Schizosaccharomyces pombe: one gene and its partners. The gene in region 3 interacts genetically with the main gene of each other region. Each region holds a gene or a part of one and is shown on either strand. Other genes may lie near its edges.

Evidence for each region.
Region 1: mutations in rga3 (region 3) and atp15 together harm fitness more than expected from each alone (negative genetic interaction), as found in Schizosaccharomyces pombe (one large-scale study listed by BioGRID).
Region 2: mutations in rga3 (region 3) and mde5 together harm fitness more than expected from each alone (negative genetic interaction), as found in Schizosaccharomyces pombe (one large-scale study listed by BioGRID).
Region 4: mutations in rga3 (region 3) and SPOM_SPACUNK4.15 together harm fitness more than expected from each alone (negative genetic interaction), as found in Schizosaccharomyces pombe (one large-scale study listed by BioGRID).

Annotation. Positions count from the first base shown.
Region 1 is NC_003423.3:3,783,345-3,786,220, reverse strand, and holds atp15 (F0-ATPase epsilon subunit Atp15), read left to right. Parts: upstream 1-1,718; 5' UTR 1,719-1,758; coding exon 1,759-1,787; intron 1,788-1,859; coding exon 1,860-2,034; 3' UTR 2,035-2,365; downstream 2,366-2,876. Other genes in the region: bch1 (ChAPs family protein), read right to left, coding at 1-20, 166-292, 342-373. UniProt on the Schizosaccharomyces pombe protein: Mitochondrial membrane ATP synthase (F(1)F(0) ATP synthase or Complex V) produces ATP from ADP in the presence of a proton gradient across the membrane which is generated by electron transport complexes of the respiratory chain.
Region 2 is NC_003424.3:2,536,745-2,540,591, forward strand, and holds mde5 (alpha-amylase), read left to right. Parts: upstream 1-1,697; 5' UTR 1,698-1,716; coding exon 1,717-3,258; 3' UTR 3,259-3,337; downstream 3,338-3,847. Other genes in the region: ribosome biogenesis protein Sqt1, read right to left, coding at 1-1,156; SPOM_SPAC4A8.02C (uncharacterized protein), read right to left, coding at 3,503-3,847.
Region 3 is NC_003424.3:5,123,019-5,130,811, reverse strand, and holds rga3 (Rho-type GTPase-activating protein Rga3), read left to right. Parts: upstream 1-1,778; 5' UTR 1,779-1,973; coding exon 1,974-4,883; 3' UTR 4,884-5,579; coding exon of another isoform or gene 5,580-6,032; 3' UTR 6,033-6,198; coding exon of another isoform or gene 6,199-6,420; 3' UTR 6,421-7,484; downstream 7,485-7,793. Other genes in the region: RNA polymerase I upstream activation factor complex subunit Rrn5, read left to right, coding at 1-757; protein mug108, read right to left, coding at 5,580-6,032; SPOM_SPAC29A4.22 (uncharacterized protein), read right to left, coding at 6,199-6,420. UniProt on the Schizosaccharomyces pombe protein: GTPase-activating protein for Rho-type proteins.
Region 4 is NC_003424.3:2,880,417-2,883,999, forward strand, and holds SPOM_SPACUNK4.15 (2',3'-cyclic-nucleotide 3'-phosphodiesterase), read right to left. Parts: upstream 1,766-3,583; 5' UTR 1,577-1,765; intron 1,528-1,576; 5' UTR 1,316-1,527; coding exon 689-1,315; 3' UTR 547-688; downstream 1-546. Other genes in the region: BRCT domain protein Mdb1, read right to left, coding at 2,768-3,073, 3,126-3,583.

The DNA of each region.
Region 1 (2,876 bases), on a different chromosome or scaffold from region 3:
ACAAAGTGATAAGTTCCAACCTTTGACGAGGTTAATAATACGTAAAACGTTAACGTTTCAATAGGAGTGAAAAGTTTGGTAAAGAGAGACTTGTCTTGATCCTTTCCCCACTAATCTCCAACATCATTAACACTACAGCTTTCGCTGCTTTAAAAAGTGACATACCTCTTTTGATGGATTTTTTGCATTAACTTTTATAGTATTGACCTGATCAGGAGGCCCGAGTTCTTTAAATTGTGCGATGGATTTAGAACGCGCATCTAATGACTCGTTTACACGAGTTTCTAAAAACCTATCGTCATTGTTTAGAACTTCAGCTCAATTATATTTAAGGAACTTACTCTGGTATATCCTTAAAGAATGAATCACTCATATATCATAAATTGGAATTAATATGCAAAGCAGCGTTCAATTCGGCCTCGTGGCTGGTTCCAGTTAAGAGGTTATGGTGTAGCCGCAGCCTGACTTGCTGTAACGAAGTGTAGCAAGCGACAATTAGGCAATCGTCCACAATTTCCTTATATATAAAGAATAAATAAATATCATTAAATTATGCATTTAGTGTATTTGAAAACCAAAAAATAATTGAATATTATACATTTTGATTTGTATCTTCATTCATCCTGACAATTGATGATTTAGGGAAGTCAAAAGTAGTACCCAACGAATAGTGTAGCGATAATTTTTTCTTAAGATTACAACTCATTGATTAATACAATTGAAATAAAAATTTCTTGTTGGTGCGGAATCCAACGCAATTAGTATTAAAAAAAAGAACAGCTTTATGTTAGTTTCCACTAAAAGTTAGACCAGTCATACGCACAATGTTAGCTTTAAAAAACTCGCACAATACGCTGGTAAGCATATGATAAATTAATACAATACTTCCAAGCAATTGCGAATGTAAGTTGCTGTGAATTTTTTTCCGAATTTCGAAATCTTTAACGAACCTTTAATGAAACGTCTAAAAGTAGAATCAGGAGTTATTGATTTTTGCATTATATATCTCCTTGACAAGAAATTTTTTGTTTCATCTAGCCATACATTTTGATAGATGTCTCTTGCAATGAACCATTGTTTGTTTAAAATATCCTAAAACCAAATAACATGTGCGAATACGTTATTTAATAGTGCAAAATTCTACAAAGAAAGAATCGAAATTTATGCTTAAGCCATTCATGTTAACGCTCATCAAGAAAGCTAATTTGACTAAATACAATCAATGGAGAGTGCTAGTATACATTGCTTGTTTTAACTGACATTTTTAAATTAACTACGATAAGTGTTAAGATTAAACAAAGTGAGAAACGTAACAGTGCTTAAGTTCAGTTTTCTTGCGAATGTATTGAATTACTTTCACTTGCCCAGCTAGTAAACAATTAAGGCTTTGGTACCGCTTTGTCCTTCTAATAAATTATGGTTAGTAGCGAAAATAACCAGCCTTTTGACTGATGAGAGGTATATATTCATTTGTCAATTCAAATTAATACGGCCTTTTGAATATTTATTTACTGAATAGTGTTGATTAATAAAAAGGCAATCTGTATAGCGATGAATCGTTAGCATCACCAAAGTCATTTTAATCAAACTGCGCTATATTTTACTAAGAAAAGCACGTTACCAATGTTAGATTAACGAATGTACATATTGAACTCAATAAATGTGTCCGACCCTTACCGAACGGGGTTTCAAGAGAGTGTCATGGATTTTAAGTTACCGTTCCCCCATCTCTGTACGATTTAGCAATTCATTGAGAAAATGGCTTTTGCTTGGAAGAAAAACTTTAGGTATGGATTCATTTCTTGAATGTGAACATTAAATATACCCTGATAGTTTTACTAATGAATGAATATTTGTAGTTATAGCAAATATGCTTCTATTTGTTCCCAAACTGTTCGTCAAGCCTTAAAACCGGAAATTAAAAACGAGGTTAAAACTCATGGTGATGCAGAGTTCCTTTATACTCGATGGAAAAATGGCGCTCAGGAAAAAACGGAGTCTTACAATTCGGCAAAGTCTGCTGATAAGGAATGAAAATAAAGGCTACAAACGAATTTTTTGTCCTTCATTACCCATTGGTAATATTTCAGCTTCATTTGATGTTTCACTCATTTCAACAGATATCACTGATGGTTTACAATCTCTTATAATGATTACTATATTCGACTTAACGTTGAATTACTAACTGATCCTTTCAATAAATTTTTATTACTTTTTTTAATGATGAAGTTTAATAGAACAAGGTAGTTTGCTCTGTTTTCTTAAAACTGTTGAGAATGGCACTTCAAATCATTGTGGTTGCTCTGTATTTTCGATCAAATCTATAATCGGCCTTTGTCTCAAAACCAAAAATTGTTGATTTTACTATAATGAGATGTAGCTAATTTAGAAGTAAGTGAGTTTTGTCACTAATATCATTCATTAACGTAGTTTTTGTTTTTGCTACTACCGAGATCATTTATAGTCGCATTACACAGTAAACTTACTACAATACTATGTTCTTAATTGTTTGTATCGTTATCTAGTTTCTAAAAAATGGCTTCAACGTCGAACAAAATTGCTTGTTCTACTGTTTTCAAACAATCATGCAAACTCACCCATTAAAAAATTTTTAATTGTATGAATACAATTTTAGAGCCCGAATGAAAGAAACAGGGTATACATACGAAATCGCATTACATTCAAAACAAACTCCACTTGATGCCTTGTACTCTTTCTCTTCTTGCAAGGATATAGTGTATCGTTTAACTTCGCTATTTAGTGACTACTTGGGTCTCTAGATATGCCACTAAAGACGTGTTTGAGACCTGTCTGCACCTGTCTATGTTGGCGTTTGTAGTCGAAGGCAACGTGCGGTATTAACGATGCAGAAAATC
Region 2 (3,847 bases), 2.6 Mb from region 3:
CGGTTACAACACGTTTACCATCTGGAGTAATAGCCATACACAAGATAGGCTCTTGATGGCCTGTATACTCGCCAAGTAATTGGCCAGACCGAACATCCCATTTTCGAATAACACAATCCGCGCATGCAGTCAACAAATATGGAGTGTTGGGTAAAAACTTACAATCAATAACCGCTTGTTCATGGGGAAGGGATTTTCTAAACTTAAGGGATGCAGAATCGTAAAGCGCGACAGTACCATCGACACTAGCACACGCACATATAGGTAAGGCCGTGCAAAGTGCGATAGCTTCTACACTTTCAGTTTGGGCCTCCAAAGAAGCAAGAATATGACTACTATTAATGTTGACAACTTTTACTTTTCCTGACGAACCTCCTAAGAAAAGAACGTTACCTTCAGCATTACAGTCGAAGCTGGTCCAACCGGCGGCAGTTTCTTCATTACCAGGATCAAAGCGATGATCATCACTAGACATTCTGCATTCTGGTGCTCCAGTAGCCGGGTTCCAAACAATTAATGTACCAGAATCATCTACGGTTGCTAAACGCTTGCCAACACCGGGTGGGATGAATTTTCCAGCATTTACAGGTGCCGTATGGCCATACATAACCTGAACCACCTTACCAGAGGGAAGACTCCACATCCATATACTTCCGTCATTACAACCGGCGGCTAAGAACAAGCCCTTAGGGTGCCAAGATAACCAAACAATTTCGTCCACAGTTTCAAAAGCAGTAATGAACTCAAAACCTGTACTGGATTTCCACAATCTGACTTGACTATCCATACCACCAGTAGCAATATAAGTTCCATCAAAGCTCCAGTCTATAGCTACTATGGAGTCTTTATGTCCTGTCAATTGACATATTTGTTCACCGGTAGTAATGTCCCATATATACCCTAGGTCATCTCCTCCACCAGACGCGCACAGATTTGAATGCACTGGATTGATAGAGACGCTGAATACAGAGTCTTTATGCTCGAAAAAACCTTGAACAGACATGTCCATAACCATGTTATTCATAGTATCGTTTTGTTCTTGCTCAGCTTCGTCCTCTGTGACACCTTGGTCCATTAGTTTGTCATTATCTTTAATAACTTCTTCTACTTCATTTTCTGCTATGTATAATTCTTGATTTTCTTCTTCTTCGGCCATTATTAATGTGGGTGTGTACCAGCTAAAAAGCTTTGCAAAGGTCAAGCTTAGTAAGGAAATCAGTATGTATGTAATTTTACTTAGGTAATAATATATTAATTTTATTCATTATATATACATATAATAAAAATAAATAACAAAAGTATCTTAAAATAAAACTAGTTTAATTAAATTATTTATTACGTTTAACCAGTGAATGAGTGCAAGATAGTATACAAAAATTTTCAATATTTCAAAATGCTACAATTCATATTAGACTCAAATATATATAGTTATAACCTAATTCTTCATAAACAATAATCTTTCGTAGTAATCCACTTCTTGAAGTTTTCATATTCGTAATTGATCCACCATCTGTAATAGCCAAATAAGAATTCCTACGGCCATTATTACTGGATACGCTGAATTAACGTATGAAATGGTTTGTTTACTTTCTTGAGCGTTTTAAAGCTATAAAGGGAAAGAAAGTATTTTTGTTTGTTTACAATGAAGTAAACAAAAAAAAACTACTTAAGTGACAAGCGCAAGCAAACACTTCTCTGGAGCAACTATCATAAAGTATGAAGCACAACGAAGTTTTTGGATGGACACTGAAGGTGCTTTCATTTCTTTTGGTGGTAATCCCGGCCAATGCATTAGACAAACATGGTTGGAGAAAACAATCAATTTATTCTTTGTTGACAGATAGGTTTGCTTCTACTAATCCAAAACCCTGTAATCCAGAAGATCGTGAATACTGTGGAGGCAACTGGAGGGGAATCATTGATAAATTAGATTACATACAAGGTATGGGTTTCACTGCTATTTGGATTTCTCCTATTATCAAAAATATTGAAGGAAGGACAAAATATGGGGAAGCTTACCACGGCTATTGGCCGCAAGACCTATACACTCTCAATCCACATTTTGGTACTGAACAGGACTTAATTGATTTAGCAGACGCTTTACACGATCGAGGCATGTATTTGATGGTCGATACAGTAGTCAATCACATGGGATCATCTGATCCTCGGAACATTGACTACGGCATCTATAGACCATTCAATCAATCAAGTCATTATCACCCAATGTGCCCAATTGAGCAAGACAAACCTTTGTCGCTCGAACAATGTTGGATTGGTACTGAAGATATGACATTGCCGGACATTGATACAGAAAATCCTCAGATTATTGAAACATTGTACAATTTTATCCACGATCAAGTGAAGCAGTTCAAAATCGACGGCCTCCGTGTTGACGCAACTAAACACGTTCGACGTACTTTTTGGCCAGGATTTTGCGAATCTGCTGGAGTCTATTGTCAAGGAGAAGAATGGACAGGGCAGGCGGATCTGTTTTGCGAATGGCAGGAGTACATGGACGGATTGCATAACTTTCCTGTCCAAGGTGTAGCAGCTGAATCTGTGATCCCACTAAATGACCGCGCTTTAAGGAAAACTGCAATCGCAATGAATCTTGTTGCCCATCACTGCAAAGATAGTACTCTGTTAGGTCTTTTCTTGGAGTCTCAGGACGCACCAAGATTAGCTGCATTGAATAACGATTATACCGTACTAAAAAATGCGATGACTTTAAACCTTATGTCGGATGGAATTCCTATTGTTTTCTACGGACAAGAACAGATGTTTAATGGAAGTCACGATCCCGTAAACCGTCCTGCTCTTTGGGATCAAGGATATAATACAGATGGTCCTTTATATCAGTATACCAGTAAGGTCAATAAAATTCGCCGTGACTTAATTAACTCTGAAGACGGCGAAATATACATTAGGTCCATAACACATGCCATCATGATAGGTGATCACGTTATGGTCATGTACAAAGGTCCTGTAATCACATTCATTACCAACTATGGAGCCGTGGACAAGGAATATTTAATTAAAATGCCTGGTTCAGAAACAATGATTGATCTATTGACCTGTACGCTCATTGAAGTAGAAGGAGAGGTGATGAGAACATCTATTAAGAAAGGGGAACCCAAAATATTGTATCCCTACCAACTGGCCTTTCGCGATGGATTTTGTCAAGAACAGATAACTTTACAAGAGATTGATGATGTTTTTATGGGAAGAAATGAAATTAATGGGCCCGATAGGAAGTAGGATGGAAAGAGAAAACTTCTTTTTATTTATAATTTTTAAAACTCGTGACAACAACTTAGTCACTAGGCATCACTTGTGAGTTTGCAATACATTTATAGCTAATGTATTTTTTTTTAATATAAAAAAAACCAAAAAGAAAAAAAAAAGAGTCGTTACTAAAGAAATAGTATGCTTAAATAAGCCATACAATCGGTAGTCATTCACATCATTCCCAAGCACATACTAATAAAAACTTAAAGGTACTTCAATTGCTTCGTAAACCTATAATAGTACAAACAATTGTACGAGAATGAGGTTGGCGACGAAACTCAGCTAACTGAATGTCTTGCCAAGTACCCAAGCTCAACTTCCCATTAGTAATGGGAACAGTTAAACTAGGTCCAATTAAGCTAGATTTAACATGAGCAGGCATATCGTCTAATCCTTCTGCAGTATGACGGTAGCCTGCTGATTCAGGGACAATTTTATCCAATATATCGTTCATGTCAGCTCGCGTATCTGCGTCCCAATTCTCATTGATAGTAAGAGCAGCAGAGGTATGCTGTATAAAAAAATTTACTGTACCAGAAGAAAAGCTTTTTAATTCTGG
Region 3 (7,793 bases):
CAAATTTCAAAATTATATACACATAATGGAATCTGATGAAAGACAATCAAAACTGAAATTAGGACGAGTCAGAGCACGGAAGACAAAAAATAACGAAAACACCATGTTTTTTGATTCTAAGGAACATTCGACAGATGAAAGCGATGGTAACCTTGGAGAACATGATGTAAAGCGCAAGGTAGATTCTGTACCCGCCGATGAGACTAGCATCAATGGTTTTAAGAAATCTGTTAATCAGGCTGAGTATCCTGATAATGCTCAAATGTTCATGGATGAAAGTGTCGCAGAAGAAAGTCTTGTGGAAATTGATGACAGCGTCGAAGCCTACGACATGATTCAATCCAAAAACTACGAAAGCTTTGTTTGGAAATATGTGCTGCATTTAACCGATGAGATGTCGACAGAGGACGCTCTTTTTGAAACTATACCACTTAGTAATTTGCTGGCTCAAAAGCGAATGAAAGACAAGTTAAAAGGTTCCGACGTGTTTACGACTCTTAAAATAACTTCCAAGAGCTTGCACAACATTGACGAACATTCCGATAGTGATGATGAAGTTCAACCTATATGTTATTATTACAAGGATCCAGTTGTTTCCCATGCCCCGGGTGCAGCTGAAGTCGTATCTGAACTTGAAAGCGGATATGTAGGGTTAATATCCTATGATTTGTCTAATCTTCCAAATAGTACAGAAGATCCTGAAAGGAAACTTGCAAAACCTGTCTCTTCTTGGGAGTTGTCACTCCCTTTAAAATAGATGTCTTCATTTTCGAACTACAGTCTTGAAGCCTTTACAAAAACATAAATTGTTTTTTAGCGCTGCCTCTGTGTTGGATAGCAATCCTTTCTTTTTATCGTCATTTTCTGCCAAGTTTGTTTTTTCCTAGAAAGAAAATTTAATACTTCCTCTTTATAGCAATCAGTTATTGCCATTTATAATGATGAGTCCCAGTGTTCACAATATTCTGAAACTTTTTTTGTTAAAAACTGATTGCTTTCTTCCGTATAATTGTCCCAATATTCGCACCACAACTATAAAAATTTTTTTTAGGAGCCTTTACTTCCTTCTTAAAAGCAATAGTTACTTAATCAATTATAGCGACCCCGCTATTTGAGATACACATTTTATAAATTCTACACTTTTTGGAAACGAGCATTTTCTCTTGTCCCTTTATTTGACGATCCGACCGTTCACGCTACAAACGTCTACAAAATTTTTTTCTCTAGAAAGCATCTCTCCTTCTGTTTACTCCTGTTGCTACCGAAATTTTTTCTTTTTTTTTGTCCTCTGTGTTTTTTGATCAGGAATGTATATATCTTTAACCATTTTTTAGCGGGTTTTTTCTAAAGGTAAAGCTATTTAAGCCAGAAAAACAGTTCATTTTCCTTTTTCCTTCTAATTTCGGCAATTTCCCTTTTCACAAATATCACCATTTTTGAGTGGAAAGAAAAGCCTAGAGAGCGGAAACGCTGCCAAACCCATTAAAATTAATTATCTGTAATATTATAATCGTATTTAATAGCTATTCATAACACCCGTTTCGTCTAAACTCCCGTAATAAACCATGTGACTTTTGGCAATTTTACGCACCATATCGTAGAACACGGCGATAATTTCCATAGTGTTTCGCTAGGCTAGGGCAAGGCAAGCCAAAGACCATAGTGCCATGTGTACGACGCATGCAAATTTTAAGGGATTAGAGTGAACGACTCGCTACTGCCGTTCTCACCGCTCCACTGGGCAATGATGCCAACAACTGCAGTAATAATTATTCCTTAGCCATTTACCAATTGTTTCGAACTTCAATCATAAAATTGGGAATATTTTCATTTACTTGATGGGAAGCTGAGGAATGAAAATAGGTACCCAAAGGAATCGTTGTGAAAATAAAAATCAACAAAGCCAAATTCATGACGCTAGATTGAAGTTCATAACGTTTAGCAGGAAATAAGAAGAGCATATATACGATAAGATGATATTTCGAAAAAGTATTTCCAAATCTCCATCAAGCAAGGGAAGCACAGTATGCTTTCGCTGCGGACAGGCATTTCAACGTAGAGAGACACCTATTTCGTTTGGGGGTCATATGTGGCATAAGGATTGCTTCTGCTGTACGAAGTGCGATAAAGGATTGGAGCACAGTGATCAAATGCTGGTGCAAACCTCTGATGGACGACCGGTGTGTAGCTCTTGCGCCCATACCTGTACAGCGTGTCGTATGAGGATCAAGGACTATGCCCTAATGTCAGGCTACGACTCCTATCACAGAGAGTGTTTTCGTTGCCATGATTGCCGAAAGCAAATAATTGACTCTAACTTTAAAAGAGATAATAGGACTATATTTTGTAATGATTGTAAACAAGTCCGTCACCCTTCCAGGTCTTCAGACGAGAGCGCTGATTATCACAATTTTGAGGTTGATGTCACGATTAAGCCCACAGAGACAAAGTCTTCAGTGGAATCTAATAAGTCTTTAAGCATTGAAATTATGTCTCCTCAAAAGCCACCATTATCACCTTTTGGTGGAAGCAGAGACCGCTTAGTTAGCGAAACACCGACTAACATGAGTCAGGCAGAAGGGGGTAATGTGCCGAACGATGGACAGGATAGTAATCTTGCGTCTAATTCTGCAGATTCGCTGCTGCCTAGTGCCAAAAATCGAAGTTTTTCCTCGTTTACGAGTTTTGAATCGCCGATGAAGTATGACGATTCTTTCTTTCCTATTTCACCTTCTATATCTCCGTTACAAAAAGTTAACAAGCAGCAACAAATTGAGTCTCCTACAGCCACATTTCCGTTAAGCAAAAATACTTGGAAGAATCGATTCCATACGTTTCACAAACAATCTTTTACTCCTGTTAACGATAGCTCTTCCTCGGACAGCTTAAAACCCACAATTAATGAGGAAGCCCTGGACGACTTTGCTGGCTCTGCTTCTCCTTATAAAACCATGTCATTGACTGACCGAGCAGAGCCAATTGTCATGAATGGACATATGCGTTCTCTTCACAATGCCACCTCTCCCTTTCGGCCTTTTTCTCCCTCTTACAGGTCGAGTGATACGCATTCACCGAGAACCCGCTCACCGAATGTCCAAACCCATAAAAAAACCTCTTCTCAGCCATCTGACCTTTCATCTTTTGCGCAGCTACTTTCACCGCCTCAGGTTCTTTCTCCCAAACCAAATGGCGGGGGCCATAAAAGTTTTCGGCATTCGCATTCTCTTTCTGAGACTTCTCAGCAAACACTCGTTCCTTCGCTGGGATCTAATGGAGAGTACCATTTACCGACAAACGATCATTCTTCAACTCCAGCACAATCAGAGCGAGATTCGGATGTTGAAGAATTGCGTGAACAGTTGGAAAATCTTACTGCTCTTACCAAAAAATTGTCCGAAAGGCTCTCAAGTTCTACGTTTGACAACTCTAAGTTTATTCGTACGGAAGATAAGGATACTGTTCGTTCGGCTAAACTTGAAATTTGTGAAAAGTTTTTTTCGTTTGCTGATGTGACAGATGATCCCACGCTGAAAGATCCGAAACATCAGGATTTGGTGGCTGCCGCCAATGCTTACATGGCAATGCTTCGTGAGAGTTACGGCACTGAAATAAACAATCTTTTGGAAAGGAGAAATGAGCTGCTTGACGATTACAATAATGTACAAAAAATTTTAAATGAATCGCTTGAAGCATCTGTACACCTAAATACCAAAAATCTCGAGTTGGCCGACTTAAACAACAATTTGGTAAAACAAATTCAGCATAGAGTACCTCCTGAAAACCAATCCAATTTGGAGCATACTATTACCACATCTTCCAAAAATACAACCAGCAGTATTAATCCACTTACTGCCGTGAGTAGCAACTCTGGGCAGTCATCAGGTCGACCTGGTCCGTTGTCACCAAATTTGAATGTGACTACGAGAATTGACATTAAGGGAAAAAAGGGAAGTATGCATTTGCAACCAAGAGATGTAAACCGTAAAGTCCCGTTCAAATCAATGCATACTAAATCAAAGTCTGCCGATCCTGTAGTAGGAAATGAAGATCGTACTCAATGTGACCATGTGTTTCATGTTAATGCCATATTCAAGCCCTCAAGGTGTTATATATGCTCGGAGAGCGTATGGGGATCTGAACTCCGCTGCTTTCATTGCTCAATTTCATGCCATTCGCGGTGTTTAAAAAGGCTGTTTGCAGAGTCGGAGCATGAGAAAACAATGAGTGAAACTGTAAGTGAAAATAGTAAATGGATGCCGGAAATGCCAACGAGGATGCCTCCTCCTGGGCCTTCACCAACGATGTTTGGACGATCGTTAGAAAATCAATTGAAAATTGAAGGGTCGGTTTTGCCTCAAGTAATTGCTATGTGCGTTTCTTGCGTGGATGCGCATGGATTGGAGGTTGAAGGTATTTATAGGATATCTGGCAGTGCTTCTCAGGTCCGAGTGTTAGTCGACGAATTTGAAAACGGGTCTATCCGAATGGAGCATTTGACTTCTGACTTGTTTGCCTGTACGTCGGTTTTGAAAACATATTTGCATCGCTTACCGGAACCAGTTATACCTGGCACTCAATACGAGGAGTTGTTGGAAGCGGAAAAAATCGAAAAGGAAGAGGAAAAAATTGAACGGGTAGTGGAAGTAATGAAAACGCTTCATCCTGCACATTTGAGCGTATTTCGATTTTTGATTGCACATTTGGGTCGTGTATGCAAGCACGCGGAGAAAAATTTGATGAACTCGAAAAATGTCTCTACAGTATTTGCACCTACTTTAATGCGAGATAAGGTGAATCGGTTTGATTTACAGCATGCTACCAAAAAGAGTACGGCTCTTCAGTTTATGCTTGATAACGTGGATAAGATTCTTCATAATCTGTAGCTTGTTTTATGAATAATGATTAAAATATCGGGGAACTTGTATTTTTCTAGGGAAGAAGGAACTTTACGATAATAATAACCACTTGTGTTCCAAACTTCAATAAGGAATACTTTTCGAAGAAATAATGAGACTTTTTTTACACCTCTTTTTTTTAATGAAAAAAGGAAAACAAAGATATTAGCATAACACTCTTACATTTACGACTGAACTATTCAAACTGGGTAATACAGGATGTACATTATGACAAGCAGGCAAGCACACGCACGCTCATCAGATACAAATAAATACGCACGCAAATGGAGATTGTATAAAGATATTTGCCATTAAGCATTGCGAGATGCAAAATAAGGAAAATATAATGCTAATTTGATAAAAAAAAAAGAAAACAAACTCTTTTTAACGATACTAAACAGAACTCAACTCGATTTGGTTCGAGTATTTCGTTTCTCATAACTTGAACATAAACACAACATAAACAACTCATCAAAGACACATACATACACAAACACTACGGTCGTGCCATCATGTCTCGAAATCTCAAAGAATGGTATGGGGAACATGGTGAGGGATGAATGGCAGTGAACGTGAAAGGGGATGGATGGCATAATTAAATGTAATCTGCAACATTGTCAGTCAGGGTATGACTAATCAAAAAATAAAAATTACAAGGGAGTAAGAAAAAAAAAACAAAAGCAATCAAATAGTACTACCTAAAAGGCTTATATCCCTATCAAGATAAGGATCGTTTTGCTCTTCCTCATCAAGTTGTTCCTCGTTATTGTTTGCATTTTTCTTTTGTGTTCCATTAGCGCTCTTGGAGCGTGATTTCTTTCCTCCAAAGATGCTGCCAAGACCGCCAAGAGACGAGAAATTAACACGGCCAGTATGTTGACTGGAACGGTTGCGAGTAGACTCGGACCTGGAGTCATCGTCGCCGATATCTTCCTGAGTGGCATGGTAGCTGGAGCTCTCCATGTCATCCTCCTCTTCCTGGACCAAAGGTCCGGCCTCTGGATATTCATTCATGTATTCGTTGAATGAATGAACGCCCATCGAAGGATGGCGTTGTCTACCGGAGAAGGAGTGTTTGTCAACATGATGACCATGGGTTTCTTGAGTTTGATCACTAGAAGTAAAACGATTTGCCATTGCGGTGGATTTGAAGAAATTCGATTAGTCAATTAGTATTGGATGAAATTCAATTTCAAATTGATTTGGATTTGGATTGGATTGGACTGTCAATAACAATTTTCAACTCAATTGGTTATTGTTTGTTTTGTTATTGTTGTTGTTAGATTGTCAGTGGGTGGGTAATTTAGCTTGACTCGCTGATGATCAATAAGGGTGGATATGAATACGATTCGGTATTTGTTATTACGAAGGATGAAATATATATGTACTGTATTTTGGGAATGGAATTTTCACTCTTAGTGCCCAACCTTCTATTTATCTCCTTGCTGTGGCCAAATGTCATACGTATTGGGTTGCTACATTGAATGTAAGTGTGCCTTACTCGTCCTTTCACCCGCAACTCCATTGTTATCCAGCATCGTCATCCACTGCAATCGTGGCGCCAACCTCTTCACTTCCACCACCCATATAGCATATTTCCGTGAGTGTGTACCTCGGCGAGATCCGTTAAGTGGGTTTACGAAACAGGCCAAGAGGAGGAGGAGGGTTTGGTGATAATGCAATGGAGCACACAAGTAAGCAGGACGAAGTATGATTGATGGATGGATGAAGGAAAAGAAGAGAAAATGGCAGGTTGGTTTAGAAGAGGCTGTTCATCCCGTGGTATCGCAGTCTCAAGTATGGCACGGAAAACAAGCGTCGTTTTAATTGTCCAGGAGAAAAACAAAAAGGAAACAAGACTTTAGAGGGTCAGTCTTTTTTTTATGTCTTTTCTATTTTTGCTTTATGTTGTTGTTTTATATTCTTTCTTTCTTTTTTCTGCCTTCTTGACAATTAATTGATTTCCGCGGCAAGCTTAGTCAGTCTATAATACGGTGTTGTGCATCAGAGATGTTATGGCATTGCGTCATGATCGACACCCTTCCTAATCCCTTTTTTCTCCGCCTTCGCTTCCCCACACTTGGAGTCACAAGGCTGAGTCGATGCTACCTGAAAAGATGGGGTAATGGCATGACGAAAAAGACTGCAGGAAGAGAGGGGTGGGTGAAAGAAAGGGATTCAAACGAGACATCAATAATGGATGGAAGAAATAAAAACATAAAAGAAAAAAGAAAAAAAAAAGAAAGAAAAAGTTAAAGAAGATGAAAATTTTTGTTTGTTTGTCTCAGAACTAAAGTTTTTTTTGCTCAATTTTCTGTTCAATTTCTTTGATTCGCATTTTGTTTTGTTCCACTTTTTCTTTTTTTTTTGTCTTTGTTCCACCATTGGTTTTCTTTATCCATCTCTGTCCATTGTTGGTAATCTTGCTTTATGATTATAGGAGTCCTTTGTTTTCTCTCTCTCTTTTTTTTTTTATTTCTTTGTATGAATTGCCTTTTTTTTGACTAGCGTTCTTTGTCATACATGTCATCTTGAAATAGATGGTTTTGATTGTTTCTTGTTTTCAATAACTTTTTTTTTTTTTTTTCTGCTCTCTTTCTCTTTTCATTTTTTTTTTGGTCAGCGTGAGATACTGGCTTTCATTGAGCTACAATAAATAGTTTTGACTTTTTATTTCTATTTCTATTTCTTCTTTATTTTCCTGCTGTCTTTCTCTTCTCGCATACACAAAAGAGACTCAAACATACACACACACATACTCGGAGAGTTTCTCTCTCTCTCTCTCTCTTTTTTTTAGAGTTTCCTTTTTGCTCACTTGTTTTTCTTTGATCGTCGTTCTTTACGACATCTTTGTATTATAACGAAAATAACCTTTATTTGGACTTTCTTTTTATTCAC
Region 4 (3,583 bases), 2.2 Mb from region 3:
TTTTACAAAACACCGTGATTTGTGAAATCCTGATGACGATAGTTGTTGATGCTTCTTATGTAAGATAAAATTTGGAAATGTTACATCTATTCTCAGCTTTTGTTTGATAGAAAACGTTAGTTGAAGCATAAAGGTAGATAAATGAATAAATAAATAAGTCATGTTTACAAAGGATTGGTCGATAAGTATTTGAGATGCCATATCAACGTAGTAGTTAACTAATATTATGATCTATTTATTGATATAGAAAGGTTCCGCCGTGTGAATAGTTACCGCTGCATGTTATTTCATTGAATCACGTACATGGGTAATTTATATAACGCGAAATATTGTTTTTAGTAGCTGCAGACAAGTAAATAGTTTCCTTAGTCAAAGTTTAAAAGTAAAGCAGGAAAGGTGATCACCAGATGCATTTAAGTTAGTGAAAAAGATACTATAAAGGTAGAAATTGTTAATACATGAAGCAAAAAAAATTAAGGGTTTGAATAATCCATTTAAGCGAGATTGTTTTCACCTTAATAAAACCATTAAGGGATAAAAATAAATAAAGTTACAAAAAGGCTTTTTAAATCTTCATTAAAATACTAAAGCGAAATAACTAGGTATCATCCTGCTATATCTCTTTTTGTTTAGGTATATTTGCAAAGTATCAATAAGAAAAAAAAAAAAAAGATTGGAAAGCAAATGATTAGACGGTAAATTCAATACGATCACAGACGTATCCTTGATGGTTGGCCTTGTTTAATTGAATGAGTTCAAGAAAACAGGCCTTTCCCCAACTGGCTTGACCGATTGAAGAAATCGTCTCAATGGGGTCGGAAGTAGAGTAGTCAGAGCAAATACTCTTTGCATAAATGACAGGCATATAGGGATGTTCGATGACATTAAAAGGATCAGAAGTATCGGCCAAGTCATAAGCAGCATTTTGCAATTCTTCCAAGCCGGGAGTTTTCTCTACCTGAATATATACACGTTTGTAGAAGGAATCCCCAATAGCGACTTTGCCGAACTTTATGTTCAAAGGAGACTTGCGCTTGGAAGCGATATATTGCAAAACACTCTTAAACGATTGATTTGGTTTCAGCTTGATACCACGAGCTAAAGTAATGTGAGGAGCGGTAGGTAACTGCATTTCTTCAAAGTCGACTTTGTGACACACAGCCCAGTCGACAAACGTTCGATATCTCAACTCAATATCAGAGGAAATGGCAGGTACGAGCCAAACACAATAACAATGGTCTTCGGAAGAAACTTCAGCAAAACCATGACTTGTAGTCCTATCGGTCAAAGGCTGGGTCCTGAAAAATTGGGGCATGATGAAGGAGAAAGCTAGATTTCCTAATTACAAGGGGCTGGAAAAAATAAAGAGTAAAAAAAATTTAAAAGGTTGTCAGCAGTGAAAATTGTATGCAACGCTATAATGGTGTTGAAAAGAGGAAAAATAAATATAAAATACGTATAAATCCTTCGCCAATTTATTTCAACAAATATGTAGTCAATATTTTGCGTATTTTTTTTAATACCACACTATTCTTCTTTATTAGTAAATGAAACTCCAAAAAAAATTTTCACATACAGTTAAATTTCTGTTTCAAGAGTAAAACCGATATTTCCTTGTTCGCTTCGAAACCTGTCAATGCGCTTTTTTCGATTGCAAGGACAGAACACTAAAAAATATAAAATACACTCAAGCAAAGAATGTATTTAACACTTGATTTATTTTCCAAATTGCTTGTATAAGAAATAGAACTTGATTAATATTGTTGAACAGTGAGTTGGTTCGTTGGTCTGCTTATAACAGCTGGTGCTTTCACCACACTATGATGTCATCGTAGCGATGCGATAAATAGAAACAGCACACAGGTCACTTTCTCGTCCGAGGTTTAGCGCTCATTTGGCCGTGTGCGGAAGCATGTGCGGGTCTCTAAATTCACGCTTTATAAATGGTAAGATGGCGCAAAAAACTGTGTATTCCATTTAACAGCATATTTGGGTAAACCTATAAGTGCCTGATATACATATTGCGCATTTTATGAATAAATTTTATACAGTGAAGTGCAATGCATTGCAGAATCATTTGTTAGATATGCGGTATGCTTGATCTGATATGACGAGTGGATTTGCTGTGTTTTGTAGTCAATAAACAAACAACTAAACCTTTTCAAAAAATAAAATAAAATTGCAAGACTAAAAAGAAGCACTATAATGAGGCCCCTTTATTTTTATGTTTCGGAATTACCTCCTTTTACTTCCTCTTAAAACCGCAAATAAGTATATGCGTTTTTCTACTCATAAAGATTTTTACCTTTTATATCTTTTAATCGTGTAGAAATTTGTTATTTATTTTTATTAACCTTTTGTACTTCATTTCATATCATTTTATTTATTTCTTTATTTGTTTTTTTAATTGAGATGTAATAATTATAAATTTCGGGAATTGGTCAAACTATTTTTTTTCATACATTATCTGGAAAATAGAAAAAAAAGCGTATTGAAATCGATTCATTTATGTTGAGTATCTTGAATTTATTGGTTCAAGATTTTAACAATCAACTAACAGATCGCATATTTCATTAAATAACCGTGTAGGTTTTTTATCCTTCGCCCTTAAATACGCTCGTTTATTTAATATCATTATTAAAATTCTATTTTTGTATAATTTCTAATGGTCCTCCTTCATAGAAGAAACTCAAGAATATATGTTTGCAAATATACTTCTATAAATAAATAATAGACAAAGTAAACGATGTCCTCTTTACCTTTAATTTTATGTTCTTTGCTCCTTTGCACTTGGTTTGTTCCAAGATGAACGAGAGGATCGTTTTCTTCCTTGCCCGGTTCGGGATGCCTTTGAGACATTTCTTTTTCCAATTACTTTGGTGGGACTGTCAGCATCATAGTCAATCAAAAATTCATCAAAATCAATTCGATCACGCAAGATGGATAAAGCTACTAGTTCAATCTTGTACACATTTAAACCAGTAGCACTCATATTCCGTCCTTCTTGATCGTTGTCAGGTTGAGCAAGTATAATTGTGTCCTTCTCTTGAGCCCTTTTAATATCACCAACAATCTATTTAAATCATTAGCCTATCATAACTAGATATTCTCCATCTTTCACTTACCTCAGCTCCAGATGTTTCCAAAATTGAGTAAAGTCCGTGTATAGAATCCCCTACCATCGAATCTCGAATTGCCTTTGTAATGTATAGTCTTTTCCCATTGAAACACGTTCTTCTGTGGATATCGTCCAAACGAAATCCCCACTTGGCTTCTGCTTCCTCGTCTTTATATTTGTAGCTACGAAAATCTAAAACTTTACCTGATTTTATACAGTCTGTCAAGTATTGAGAAGAGACAAGTGGTATACCTAGAGAAGTCGCCAGTAAAAACTTATGTGTCCTCCGAAGTGGAGGTGAACCAAGGATGACAAAGTCGGTTTCGTCTGTGACACTTTCTTGCACCCTTAGACCATTTCTCCTTATAAAACTTTTCATCGGTTTAGTTAGGTTGAAACTCGACGTTACCAGATTTGTGTGCTTGTTTTTATTTTCAACTGCCGAGGACTGCACATTCTTGTCAG